Arabidopsis thaliana: one gene and its partners. The protein of the gene in region 3 binds, or shares a complex with, the protein of the main gene of each other region. Each region holds a gene or a part of one and is shown on either strand. Other genes may lie near its edges.

Evidence for each region.
Region 1: LSM3B (region 3) and LSM6A share a complex: the UniProt entries of both Arabidopsis thaliana proteins name them as parts of the heptameric LSM1-LSM7 complex.
Region 2: LSM3B (region 3) and LSM2 share a complex: the UniProt entries of both Arabidopsis thaliana proteins name them as parts of the heptameric LSM1-LSM7 complex.

The regions. Positions count from the first base shown.
Region 1 is NC_003074.8:22,094,469-22,098,474, reverse strand, and holds LSM6A (Small nuclear ribonucleoprotein family protein), read right to left. Parts: upstream 2,007-4,006; 5' UTR 1,879-2,006; exon of another isoform or gene 1,660-1,878; 5' UTR 1,635-1,659; coding exon 1,520-1,634; intron 1,055-1,519; coding exon 941-1,054; intron 856-940; coding exon 809-855; 3' UTR 509-808; downstream 1-508. Other genes in the region: LETM1 (LETM1-like protein), read left to right, coding at 83-186; AT3G59800 (stress response protein), read left to right, coding at 2,301-2,387, 2,791-2,892, 3,323-3,458, 3,550-3,596, 3,690-3,878. UniProt on the Arabidopsis thaliana protein: Component of LSM protein complexes, which are involved in RNA processing. Component of the cytoplasmic LSM1-LSM7 complex which is involved in mRNA degradation by promoting decapping and leading to accurate 5'-3' mRNA decay.
Region 2 is NC_003070.9:817,426-821,335, reverse strand, and holds LSM2 (Small nuclear ribonucleoprotein family protein), read left to right. Parts: upstream 1-1,772; 5' UTR 1,773-2,038; coding exon 2,039-2,041; intron 2,042-2,257; coding exon 2,258-2,416; intron 2,417-3,055; coding exon 3,056-3,175; 3' UTR 3,176-3,402; downstream 3,403-3,910. Other genes in the region: AT1G03340 (uncharacterized protein), read right to left, coding at 109-598, 670-741, 835-1,177, 1,259-1,439, 1,553-1,624; AT1G03320 (uncharacterized protein), read right to left, coding at 3,569-3,910. UniProt on the Arabidopsis thaliana protein: Component of LSM protein complexes, which are involved in RNA processing. Component of the cytoplasmic LSM1-LSM7 complex which is involved in mRNA degradation by promoting decapping and leading to accurate 5'-3' mRNA decay.
Region 3 is NC_003070.9:28,853,907-28,857,499, reverse strand, and holds LSM3B (Small nuclear ribonucleoprotein family protein), read left to right. Parts: upstream 1-1,749; 5' UTR 1,750-1,862; coding exon 1,863-1,979; intron 1,980-2,315; coding exon 2,316-2,411; intron 2,412-2,822; coding exon 2,823-2,906; 3' UTR 2,907-3,086; downstream 3,087-3,593. Other genes in the region: AT1G76870 (transcription factor), read right to left, coding at 1-250; SEC5A (exocyst complex component sec5), read right to left, coding at 3,218-3,439, 3,529-3,593. UniProt on the Arabidopsis thaliana protein: Component of LSM protein complexes, which are involved in RNA processing. Component of the cytoplasmic LSM1-LSM7 complex which is involved in mRNA degradation by promoting decapping and leading to accurate 5'-3' mRNA decay.

The DNA.
Region 1 (4,006 bases), on a different chromosome or scaffold from region 3:
TAAAGAACAGAGCGATCCTCTCCTTCTTGAGCTCTTATCTCCCTGAAGTTGATCTTTTTTATAAATCTGTTATTCAACAGAGGGAAGAATTATGGTGGAAGACATTGTAAGGTTGGGGAGATTGGGAAGCAAGCCAGAAGAAAATGCAACGGAAGAAGAATCAAGCTGAAGGAAATAATACTATGATTTTAAGACACACATAGACTTTTTAATACTAGTGAAGAGAGTTTTATTGAGAGAAGCTCTACTTCATGTTTTGCTGCTTAGACATAAGCAGGCTACTTACATATACAAGCGGCTAAGAATACGAGACCTTTTGCTAGTAATGTGAAAAGAGGTTGAAGATTAAAAATAACATTACGCCAAGAATGATATCTTGAGCGTTTTATTTCAATGGAAACTCCTGATTCAAATGTGTCGATGGCTATGAATATGATAATCTGATGATTGACTGGTTATACTAGTTTGACATGTGTGTTTCCAGTGATCCCTAAATGACATAATTCGATTACTAAACTTTAATGATCTTCCTCGTTTCGATCTGTTGGTCACCCAAACTCAATTTTGTTTGCTTGTATGATTGTATCAAGCCATAAATTAATAATTTTTCTTCTTTATCTGGGGTCACATGGAAGAGTATCATATTACTAAGAAAAAAGTGATGTCTGTATCCCAAAAATCTACTGAAGAACATAGGATGACAATCTTGGTACATGTCTACTACTCTTTTAATATGAGGTAGAAGAAGACAACAAAAATGGCAGCCATAACATGACCACTGTTGTTGTTGTTGATGATCATGATGGGCCTAGGCTCCGTCTGCTACAGTCATGTTTACTGTACTGATGTAAAGAACTGCATCCAAAGAAACCACACTTAAAAAGAAAGATATACAAAGAAGAAGATTGAGAGAAGGATGAGTGTGAGAGATTTTAGTTACCGTTGTTTCCACGGATAAAGGCGTCACCATATTTGTTCTTGAGCTGCCCGTTTACATACTCCTCCGTCTGCTCCATTGCTATGTTCATATATCCATCAAGACAAGTAAGAGTGCCTGTGAAAAGAGTAATAAAAACTTGATCAAGAACTCAACATTAAGCTTGAACAGAACATAGACAAAACTGACTCGGGCACGAAAGGAAAGAAGTCAACAAGAATGATATAAGTAGCCTTGATAATGAGAGAAACTGACTTAAATATTCAAATATCTCAGTCAACTATTGTAACCTTATTGCAGGCAGAAAGGAACATGTTCTTAAGAAAACCATTGAACAATGTTCACAAGGAAACCTTAGAAAATGTAAGAAAAGCTTCACATATTGACTTTAAAAGAATCATTTAAAAGCTGAAGACATAACATGATAATTAAGTTACTTAAGTGGGCTTAATACAAGCAACTCTTTAATTCCCTTAACATAGACAAAAGAACTAGTCCTAAGTCAAAGCTTCTAACCTAAAGTGCAGCAGAGATAGAGAACTTGCAAAACACATAAGAACATCTAACGAGAGAGAGAGGCACCTCGATAATCAACACCAGAATTGAGCTTGACAACAACGGGTCTCCCACGGATGGATTTGAGGAAATCTGCAGGTGTCTTTGTCGTTCCAGAAACTTTCTCTTCAACTCCACTCATCTTTTAAGCTCGATCCTTTACGTAACTGCAGAAACAATTGAGATCTGAAATCAGTTTGGTCGCTCTTCGAACTACAAAAACTCAAAAGGTAAAAACCATTCAGAGTCAATCTCTCGAATCACAAAAAGACTCCGAAACCTAAAAACCTAAACCTTCAACCCAATAGAAGCGAATTCGATTGAAAATGTAAAGAGAAATCGAAACTTTAACAAGGATTAAAGGAACTGAAAGAAGAACTCCTTACCTGAGACCTACTCGAGTACGAGACACAGAGAGAAAGAGAGAGCGAAGAAATAACGAATCGGTCCTAAGGGCTTTTATTATTTATTTCCAAAACTATATACTATATGATTATTGTTATTTCGATTCGATCGAGTTTTCATATTAAAACTAATAATAATTGAACATTAGTCCTTATAGATTTTATTATTTTACTTTGGAGGGTGAAATTAAATCTCCAGTGCGTTTCGGTTCGACCTCACAGTTTCTTCTGTTCTCGTCTCTCTCTCGTTTGCTTTCTCTACAGATCCCTAAATCCTCTCCCTTTGGACCGTTAATCCCCCAAACCCTAGATTTTACAAACAATTCCTCTCAATCTCTCTAAATTCTCTTTCTCCTGCAAGGAATTTGCGGACTGTTTCTTGTGGGGTAAATCTTCTATTAGCTATGGGGAAGAATCAAGCTTACAAGGCTATGCAGAGATCTAGGGTTGGTTCCAGCTCCGCCCAGCCGGATGAGGTTGAAGACGGAATGGTTTGTACCTTTTCATACTCTCATCTTCTTCATTGCAAATTGATTCTGTTTTTTTTTACTTCTCCAAACAAAATTCCAATTTGGTTGATTTACTTATGGTTTTGTTGATCTTTTGTGTTGTTGGGTTATCGAGCTGCATTTAGAATTAAGCCTACAAGAGATCCTTTATGAGTCCCAATTTTGGGGGAAGAACTTGTATCTAATACCTGCTAGGTCTTGTAGACGATATCAAGTCCATGTTTAAATGTGATTTCGTAAAAGTGTAGCATCAGAGTTTGTGTTACAGTGATTCAAGAGTCTTTTTATTGTTGTTGTAAGCTGTGAACACAAAGAAGCATTTGGATTAGTCAAACTTTGATATTTTGCATTGGTACCGGAACATTTCTGATGAGGATTGTCTCAGGTGGATGGTTCATTTCATACACCAGAGTGGCATGCGGCTCGTTTGGCTAGCCTCAAGACTACACATACTATTACCTGGGAAGAGTATAAGCAGAAGCAAAAGGTAATCTTTTTGCCTTTTTAATACTTAAGTTCTTCTGTATGTTGTATGGAACGGTGTTCCTTGTTATAATGCCATAGAAGATAATCAATTGACCATTGATGATTTAGTGTTCATAAGATTGCTATTATTGTCGTCAATTTAGAAGCTTTATTCCAACATATCATTTTCTTTTCCTCTGCTGTTTATCATCTTCAGCCACAGATACGCAGTCTTTGTGTGTTTATATAAAAATGAGTGTGTCTTCCTTCTACATTACATCTATCCCTATCTCGCGGTTTTCAAGTAACTCTAGTCATGCTCATTTTTTAAACATTTTTATTATCTGCAATATCAGTTTTTTACTACTACTTGCAGCAGTCTCTCTGTATTGTGAGTATGGAACATTAGGAAATGTTTAACATTATATCTTTCTTTCGTGTAACATGTGTAGGAAGAAGAATTGAAAAAGGGAGAACTTGAAGCAGATACCGATAAACTGATGCGTGAGTATAGAGCTCAGCTGGATGCAGAAAGGTCGTTGAAACTCTCCAAAGGAAGGAACTATTCTAGTGATAAGTCACGAAAAGGTAAACATAATCCACTTAACTTAACATGACATCTAAACCTTCTTTCTGAGGACGTTATTAACTGGTCGCCAATGGTTCAATGACCTCGCAGATAAGAAAGACAGAGATTCAAAGAAGAAGAAAAGCAAAAAGAGAAAGGTGCCTTCTAAAAGTTTAGCTTATATCAGATAGTGTGAGGTTTTCTAGCTTATGCTAACATGAACCATGATCGGTTGTGTTATGAATTTGCAGCATTATTCGTCCTCAGAGTCGTCATCTAGCAGTGATGAAGATGAATCTAGAAGATCAAGATCAAGTTCGAAAAGATCAAAGAAGGAGAAGAAGCACAAGTCCAGCAGAGACAAACACTCTAGCAAAAGTAAACACGAAACCGATGGCCCTGTACCACTCTCTAGATTCTTTGGCAATTTGAAGAATTGACAAAAGCAAAACTGCAAATGAACTATTACAAAGAGTAAGATTGTCTTCAATCAAAATACTCAAAGTAGGATATGATTGCTTTCTTCCTTGTTGCAATGTTATATTTTTGACAATAGCTCATGTATTAA
Region 2 (3,910 bases), about 28 Mb from region 3:
GTGTGATATCTTCACTTTATTCTACAACCTAACATTGACAAATTAACCTTTAAGCAAGCCAAAGAATGGAGTTAGAAACTAGACTCCAAATCATCAGCATTCCAACATTCAACCAAACCTAAGTGCAACCATGGCAATAACTGTGGCAGCTCTGAAGTAAACTTCTTTGATTCTTCTTTCCACTTTATTTGAGACTTCTTCTTCGTTGATTGTTTTCCTATTGAAATTAACAAGGGCTTCCCTGAGTCTACTCACAGACCACGAGAGCAATACCAAACTCAAACTCATTGCACCCTCGAAGAATTGGTTTGCGCAAAAGGGTACCTGCCTGGAAGCAACATTACAAACGAGAAAGAAGAGCACAGCCATACCAGTGCCAGCAAAGCCAATTGAACACTGAGTCAAAAGCTCGAAGAGTTCTCCACGTGATTTCTTTAGAGATAGCATTGTGGTTTTTCTATGTTGTTCATTGCCTATCATCAGAGAGAGAAGGCTCTCACACGCATGAAGACGGTTTCGTTCGTAGAGGTCATATTCCTTATCTCTTATCTTCGGATTTTGTTTCTTTGGTGAAGGCTTGAGCCTGGTTTTCTTCGGACTGTTGGAAATCGAAAGAAACGTTTTTTAAAGATGCAAAAGTACCAAAAACTAGTTGATGATATTAGATACCTCTTTGGAGGAGCTAGTGTAACTGCGTCCTCGGGTAGCTGCAGAGTGTCTATTGGTACTTCACTGTCGAATCTGCAGAATGAGAGGAGAGCAAAAACTTAATGTTAAACCCAAAAGGATGAGACTCATAGGTATGAATCAAACTTGCAGTGAAGAATTAACTACCGCTGAAACTGCGGGACAAGCCGTGAGAGCTTTCTCCATCTTGTTGAGTTCCTTAATCTATGAAACTCAGCTGCCGTAGAGACCAAATCATTCAATTCAGCTCTGCTACTTGAGAACAGAATGTTAGCATCCACCATGAGATCCAATAACGGCTTTGCATATGGTTGCTGAGAACTTGATCTTAAAGCATCTAGACCCATCAATTCAGATAGGAGAGACAAATCGAATCCTTCTTCTTTGAGTTCTTCTTCTGATCTAGACAAAAGGAACTCTAACACCTCCTCTTTTCTTGCATACTGCTGAGTGATCCCCAAGCTTAAACACACAGGGTCTGGTCCAGTTTCTGTTAACCACAGTTCATGTCAGTCGAAAAAAGGGATTACAATTTGGTGAATTCAACTGAAATTTGATCAAAGTCACATACCATGAACATCCATGAGTCTATGCTTCATCATGGTTGAATCAAACTCCAAAAAGTGGTTAGACTTACTAAAAGAAGAAAAAGGTTTCAATGGCTCCAAGAGTTGTGATTTCAGGTTAAAGGAGCTCTCCGGTAATATCTCATATTTTCTTCCTCCAGGATTCACCAGATAAGCCCGGCTTGTCTGAATCATTCATAGACATAAGAACCAAACAAGGAGAAGACAGAACCAGGACAAGAATTCAACGAGAGATTCTAAACCCAAGTGTTTTAAAACAGAGAAAGTAAAAAACTGACCTTGATGATCTCGTTGCTTCTTAGCTCTTGAAGGAGACTAAACCTAAGTGTTGAATAGCTATGAGAAGCCATTGAGAAAAAACTGACTTCTTATTTTTTTTTCTCTTCTTCGTCACAAAACCATGGAAACAAAACGAAAAAGCTTATCGTCAGCAATCTCGCCTATATATGCGTCAGATATTATAAGATTTGTGTAAATCTTTTCTTTATTCAGTTTTGGCTGGTGACCAAAACACACTTTGAGTTTTTAAATATTTACCCTTTGAGGCACTTATTACTTAAATTACCAAGAACATACCCAATCTTTTCAATAATTACATAAATATACCTTTGGTTTCTTATATTCTCGAAATTAACCCAAAGATCATTAGGGTACATACATTCTTTACTCGAGAGAGAGAAGTTCTAAAGTCCTCAAATCCCGCAAAGCTTTTTCAGCTTCTTTGTTGAATTGCGAGCAGAGGTAGAAATCAGCAGGAAACAAAAATGGTAAATTTGAATGCTTTCTTCATCTTCATGAACTTGATTGTTGGCAGTTGTTTTGTTTGACCTAGAAAAGGTTTCTTCTTTCTTCGTAATTATTCATGGGTTTACTCTTTTTTAGCCAATGGTTCTAGGGTTCTTGGAGATTTCGAGTTTATGGTTTTCGATGATGATTTAGGGTTTCTCGTGATGGGTTTTGATTGTGTTTGTTCTCTGGTGCAGTTGTTCTTTTCTTACTTCAAGGATTTGGTTGGACAAGAAGTGACGGTTGAGCTGAAGAATGATTTAGCCATAAGAGGAACTCTTCACTCAGTTGATCAGTATCTGAATATCAAGCTCGAGAACACTAGGGTTGTTGACCAGGACAAGTACCCTCACATGGTAAATTTTCTTTCTTTTAAGCGATTTCTCTAAGAATTGGGAATTTAGGGTTTATTGGAGCAGCCTATTGTTTTTTTTTTGTTCACATAGGCAATATTTTCTTTGTTGTGTGTGCTTGAAGTGCTCTTAAGTGTTTGACATTATACTGGAATTGATCTCACTCGCTAGTTTCTTGCTATACTTCTTTGTCTCGTATTGTAAAATATCACTTATGAACTGATTGAAAGCTTAATCCTTGGCTCTTGCAAATGTGTTTAAGCCTTCACTCTTTTCTTTTTCCTTGCTTTCATTTACTGTGACCAAGCTTGAGAAGCTCTAACGTGATATTGATTAGATTTACAGACGCAAAGGGATGATTTGAAGTGATTAGTGGTTCTGGTTCACATATTTGATTGAGATTGCTGCTTTTGTACTGCAATTTGTCAAGTCTACTCAGGATTACAAAAGATTTGCAATATGTTTGCATGACCAATTTCAATGCATTTAGGTTTTATGGCGTTTATATTGTTATATCTTTGGCACTGTATTTCTTTATCTTGTCAGTGTCACACTTTAGAAACCTTGTCAAATAGTACAATTTCGCTAGAATCCTCCCGAAGATGTTTTTAGCTGACGGATTTGTGTGTTTGTTCTGTGTAGCTTTCAGTGAGAAACTGTTTCATCAGAGGATCTGTGGTAAGGTACGTGCAGTTACCTAAAGATGGAGTCGATGTTGATTTGCTTCACGACGCAGCTAGAAGAGAAGCTAGGGGTGGCTGATTCTGAAATATCTTTGTATCTCCAAAACTTGAATACTTTTCATTCGGCGTAATGGCTTTATAATGAATATTTCCCTGATGTAGAGCCAATGGTATGGCCATGAATCTTGTTCCATTTTATTAACAATGGATAATTTAATTTCTTTTCCTCGTTCAAATGAAAAGCTTATTAAAGCCTACTTAGAAACACCTTCACTCTTGTCAGGCTGTCACTACTTAAGTTTTTCCCTTTCTTAGATGAAGCAAGCAGAGGAAAAACATATAGACTCAGTAAGAAGGAACTTATATAAAGTAATATGAGTTCTTGTTTGCATAGCAGCAATAGGACCTTAACTCTTGTCATTAATTTAGTTTCTTATTTCTGAGATGAAGCAAACAGAGGAAAAACATAGACTCATGAATAAAAATAGGAGTAATTTTCTGCATAGGTAGTGTAACGCTTCATAGGATTTGCATCCATGTACGGTCTGGTTTGCCAATAGGGGAAAGGACCAGCTGCAGCCATATACGGATATGCTGCAGCCATAGGCGGATATTGTGAAATGTGAACACCATCGAACATTCTGGGTCGAGGCATGGATTGGTATGGATCAATTGGACCACCACAAGGTCCACAACCACCATATGGTCCATGCATTGCCCCCATCGAAAACGGGGGATAATGGCTTCTCGAGGCTGCGGATATGGGCCACCGGTGTAAAGGATTGTGTCCACCATGGTACATCATCGGTTGAGC
Region 3 (3,593 bases):
GCCAAGGAGAGTTTTCCTTGGACTTGTTTTGACCATCACTACTTAACAAACATAGTTCATCATCTTCACTCATTGATTTCTTTCCTCTGTCGACATTGTTGTGACGTGTATCCATAGTATTGTTAAAGCCTGAGTCTTGTCGAGAATTTGGATGGTGTTGTTTCTGATTCTGATTTATAGCATTTGGACGAAGATCTCTCATAGAAGAAACTTGAGAATCAAAGCGTCCTTGCGAGCAATTTCCTTCCATTTCTACAGTTTCCAAAAGAAAAATCTGAATCAGAGAAAATAAAAATTCAGTCTTTCTCCTCAAAATCAAACTTTTCTTAGATGGATTTCTCCAAATATGAAACCTAAATCATCCGATCAAAGTAAGCTTGTAAACAGAGCAATCGCAATCAAACACTACGAATTCGATAAACTATAAAACATCGCTAACAAAAGACGAAAAAAAAAACTTATCTTTAGAGAAAATTTCATGCTAAAACTAAACGGACCTTTTTAAAACGATTGAAGACGAGAGAGTCTAGGGTTTTAGAGATGAGAGTTCAAGTAGAGAGACGAAGAACTCTGATCACTGAGACAATGCGTGTGGCGGACAAAACATTTAGAGGAAGAAGAAGAAGAGAGTCTTGTTTCTAAATCTTTTTTAGTGACAAATCACAAAAGTTATTTATGTCCAATGTATCAGAAGATATTTGGACCCACCATTTCTTTTTTATTTATTTATTTACGATTGATTTTGGTAGTCACTATGGGTAGAGTATGAATTTGAATTTTGAAATAACTGAAATTTATATGTTTTTTTATATATTAAAAGATATGATTGTCAAGGGAAATCTAAGTATTAGTTTTTTTTTTTAAACTTTTTTTTTTTACTTCCTTATTGAATCATTAATACAACATTTCATGATTCATTACTAAATCCACAATAAGTTTTTATACTCTTACACGTGTGCTTATTTTGTAGAAGCGTTACAATTCACATTAAAAAGGTTAAAAAGTGTATATTTTTTTTTTTTTTAGTATCTTATCGAATTATTAACAATAGTGTCGTTCTTCTTCTATATTGTTTAAATTTATGTTATCTTAGTTTGGACATATAAATTTATATTAATTTAAATTTAGTAGATACAATGTGAGTTTTAAAAACACAATATTGTAGAATTTCATCACCAAATCATGTCCAAGTTATTATACTCTCGCACATATATTTATTTTATGGAACCAATAAGTGTTACAATTCAGATAAAAAAAAGTTATAAATTTATATATAAATATATTAAACTTAAATTTGTATATAGTGATTAAAAAGTGATTGGTATCACGTTTTAGAAGATACCATATTTGGTTAAAAACATTAGTCACAATAAATGATTCTATTTTACACGTATGCTTACTTTGTGAAACTGTCAAGCGTTACAACTCGAAAAAAGTTGTGAAACGCTTGTAAGTAGAAAACAAACGAATCGAAGTACAAAACGTCAAATTTAATATCTTAATTTACATTTTAAAATTAAAATCTAACATTAATATTTGTTTACTGAAATATCTATACATACAAGACCTCAACTCAATTTTCTCAAGGTAGAAGTAGAACCTAGCTAGTAGAACCCATTGATAATCTTTGAAATAATAAAATATGCCGATAGTTTTGAAAAAAAAAACATTTTTTCGCCAACGTTCGTTTATGGGCCTAATATTCTGTTGGGCTGTTGCCATATATTTGTAAAATCTTATTCGTAGAACAAAATTGTTAAGTTCGTGTCCGCGAGATCAGAGTTTGTGTCCGGTTATACGATTCGTCGGTACCAAAACCCTCCGAGAAGTGTTTCAGGTGGGAAGGTATCTCTGTCTACACGATGTCCGGCGAGGAAGAAGCCACCGTGAGGGAGCCACTAGATCTGATTAGGCTGAGTCTCGACGAGAGAATCTATGTCAAGCTCCGGTCAGACCGCGAACTTCGCGGCAAGCTTCACGTACGTTTTCTTGTGCCCTGCTTAGTACCTTGAACTTGTCACTACTTAAAATACTCGTTCCACACATAGTTCGTTTGAATTTTGTAACTTTATTTTGCCGATTTCACTGTTTTGGTGTCGAATTTGGTCCTTTTTTGGGGGAAAGTCTAGGGTTTTGATTTTCAAGTTTCAGTTTCTAAAAACGTTTTCTCGAGTTATGGCGATGAGCTTGCAATTGGGAATTTATGGTTTGTGTAAATTTAATTTTGACAAAGTTCTTAAATTTTGGAAGATTTCTACACTCTTGAGTTACTCACTTAGGTTTGATGTTGTTGTTGTTGTTAATTCTTTGGGCAGGCGTTTGATCAGCATTTGAATATGATTCTGGGTGATGTTGAAGAAACTATCACTACAGTAGAAATCGATGACGAGACATATGAAGAGATTGTTCGGGTACGTGCTTTTTCTTACTCAATAGTTAACTTTATAGGTATTTGAGGGGGATCTTGATGAGTTTCTATCTCAAGTTAAGGATATTGTTAGAGAACAAGTGTACAAGTGTCTTTTAGCTTTCACTATATACAGAAGTTTCAGCTCAATGTAGAACATTTACTTAGACAAGAGATTATATCCTACACGAATCTTATTGTTCTGGAAGATATAAGCTATTGGATCGAAATTAGGAAGGCATTTCCATGTAACTGACTGTTTCTAGTAGAGAAGTCTCTTTCTTTAAGCTTCTTAGGCACACACATATTAGTTGTTGGGACTCCTCTAGGCGGGCTACAATTCTGATCTGATTAGGATAAGTGGCTTTTGTCTCTCATGTATGTGATTAGTTTTGTTTACTATCTCTGATTGCAGACTACAAAGCGGACGATTGAGTTTCTATTCGTGAGAGGAGATGGAGTGATATTGGTGTCTCCACCGCTGAGGACAGCAGCCTGAGTTCAAACTCAAATCTTTTGTGTCCTCTTTTCGTAAGGGGAATTTGTGACTATTCTTGTATTTAGTCACTTCTTGTCTTAACTAAAACAAGCTTGAAGAAGCTACTTTGCTTAAATTTCCAATGCTTTTCAGATACTTTGATCGTGTGATATACTAATTACAACCCAATTATCTGAGTTCACAAATAAAGATAAGAGTCTGAAAAAGACAGACAAACAAACAAAAAAATGCACCAGGAACAAGAGAATTATGATCATTTACGTACAAATAAACGGAGAAGAAATTATTAAATAAACAAAGTTGGTCTCTTATTATCTTCGTCTGGGTCGGGCATTAATGGGAGAACCAGATGATTGTGAGCCTCTGTAGTTTCTGCTTGGAGAATCCATTGATCCTCTAAAGGAAGAGTAGGTAGCTTTGGGTAATGGAGGCGTTGACTCTAATGGGGCTGACTCTGCAAAGCATGCTGTGTTCACACGAGTTCTCTCCAACTCTTGTTGTAGCAATTCGTTTGAACACTGTTTCGTTAGAGCCTGTTCACGAAATAAAACAAAATGATCAAAATTGAGGTTTTGATATTTGATCAAATCTGTTGAAAAGAGAAAGGAAATGTATGTGTTACGAGGAGGTCATCTGCTGAAACAGATTGCTTGTCATCTGAAACTGTGTCTTCGCTGCCACGAGTTG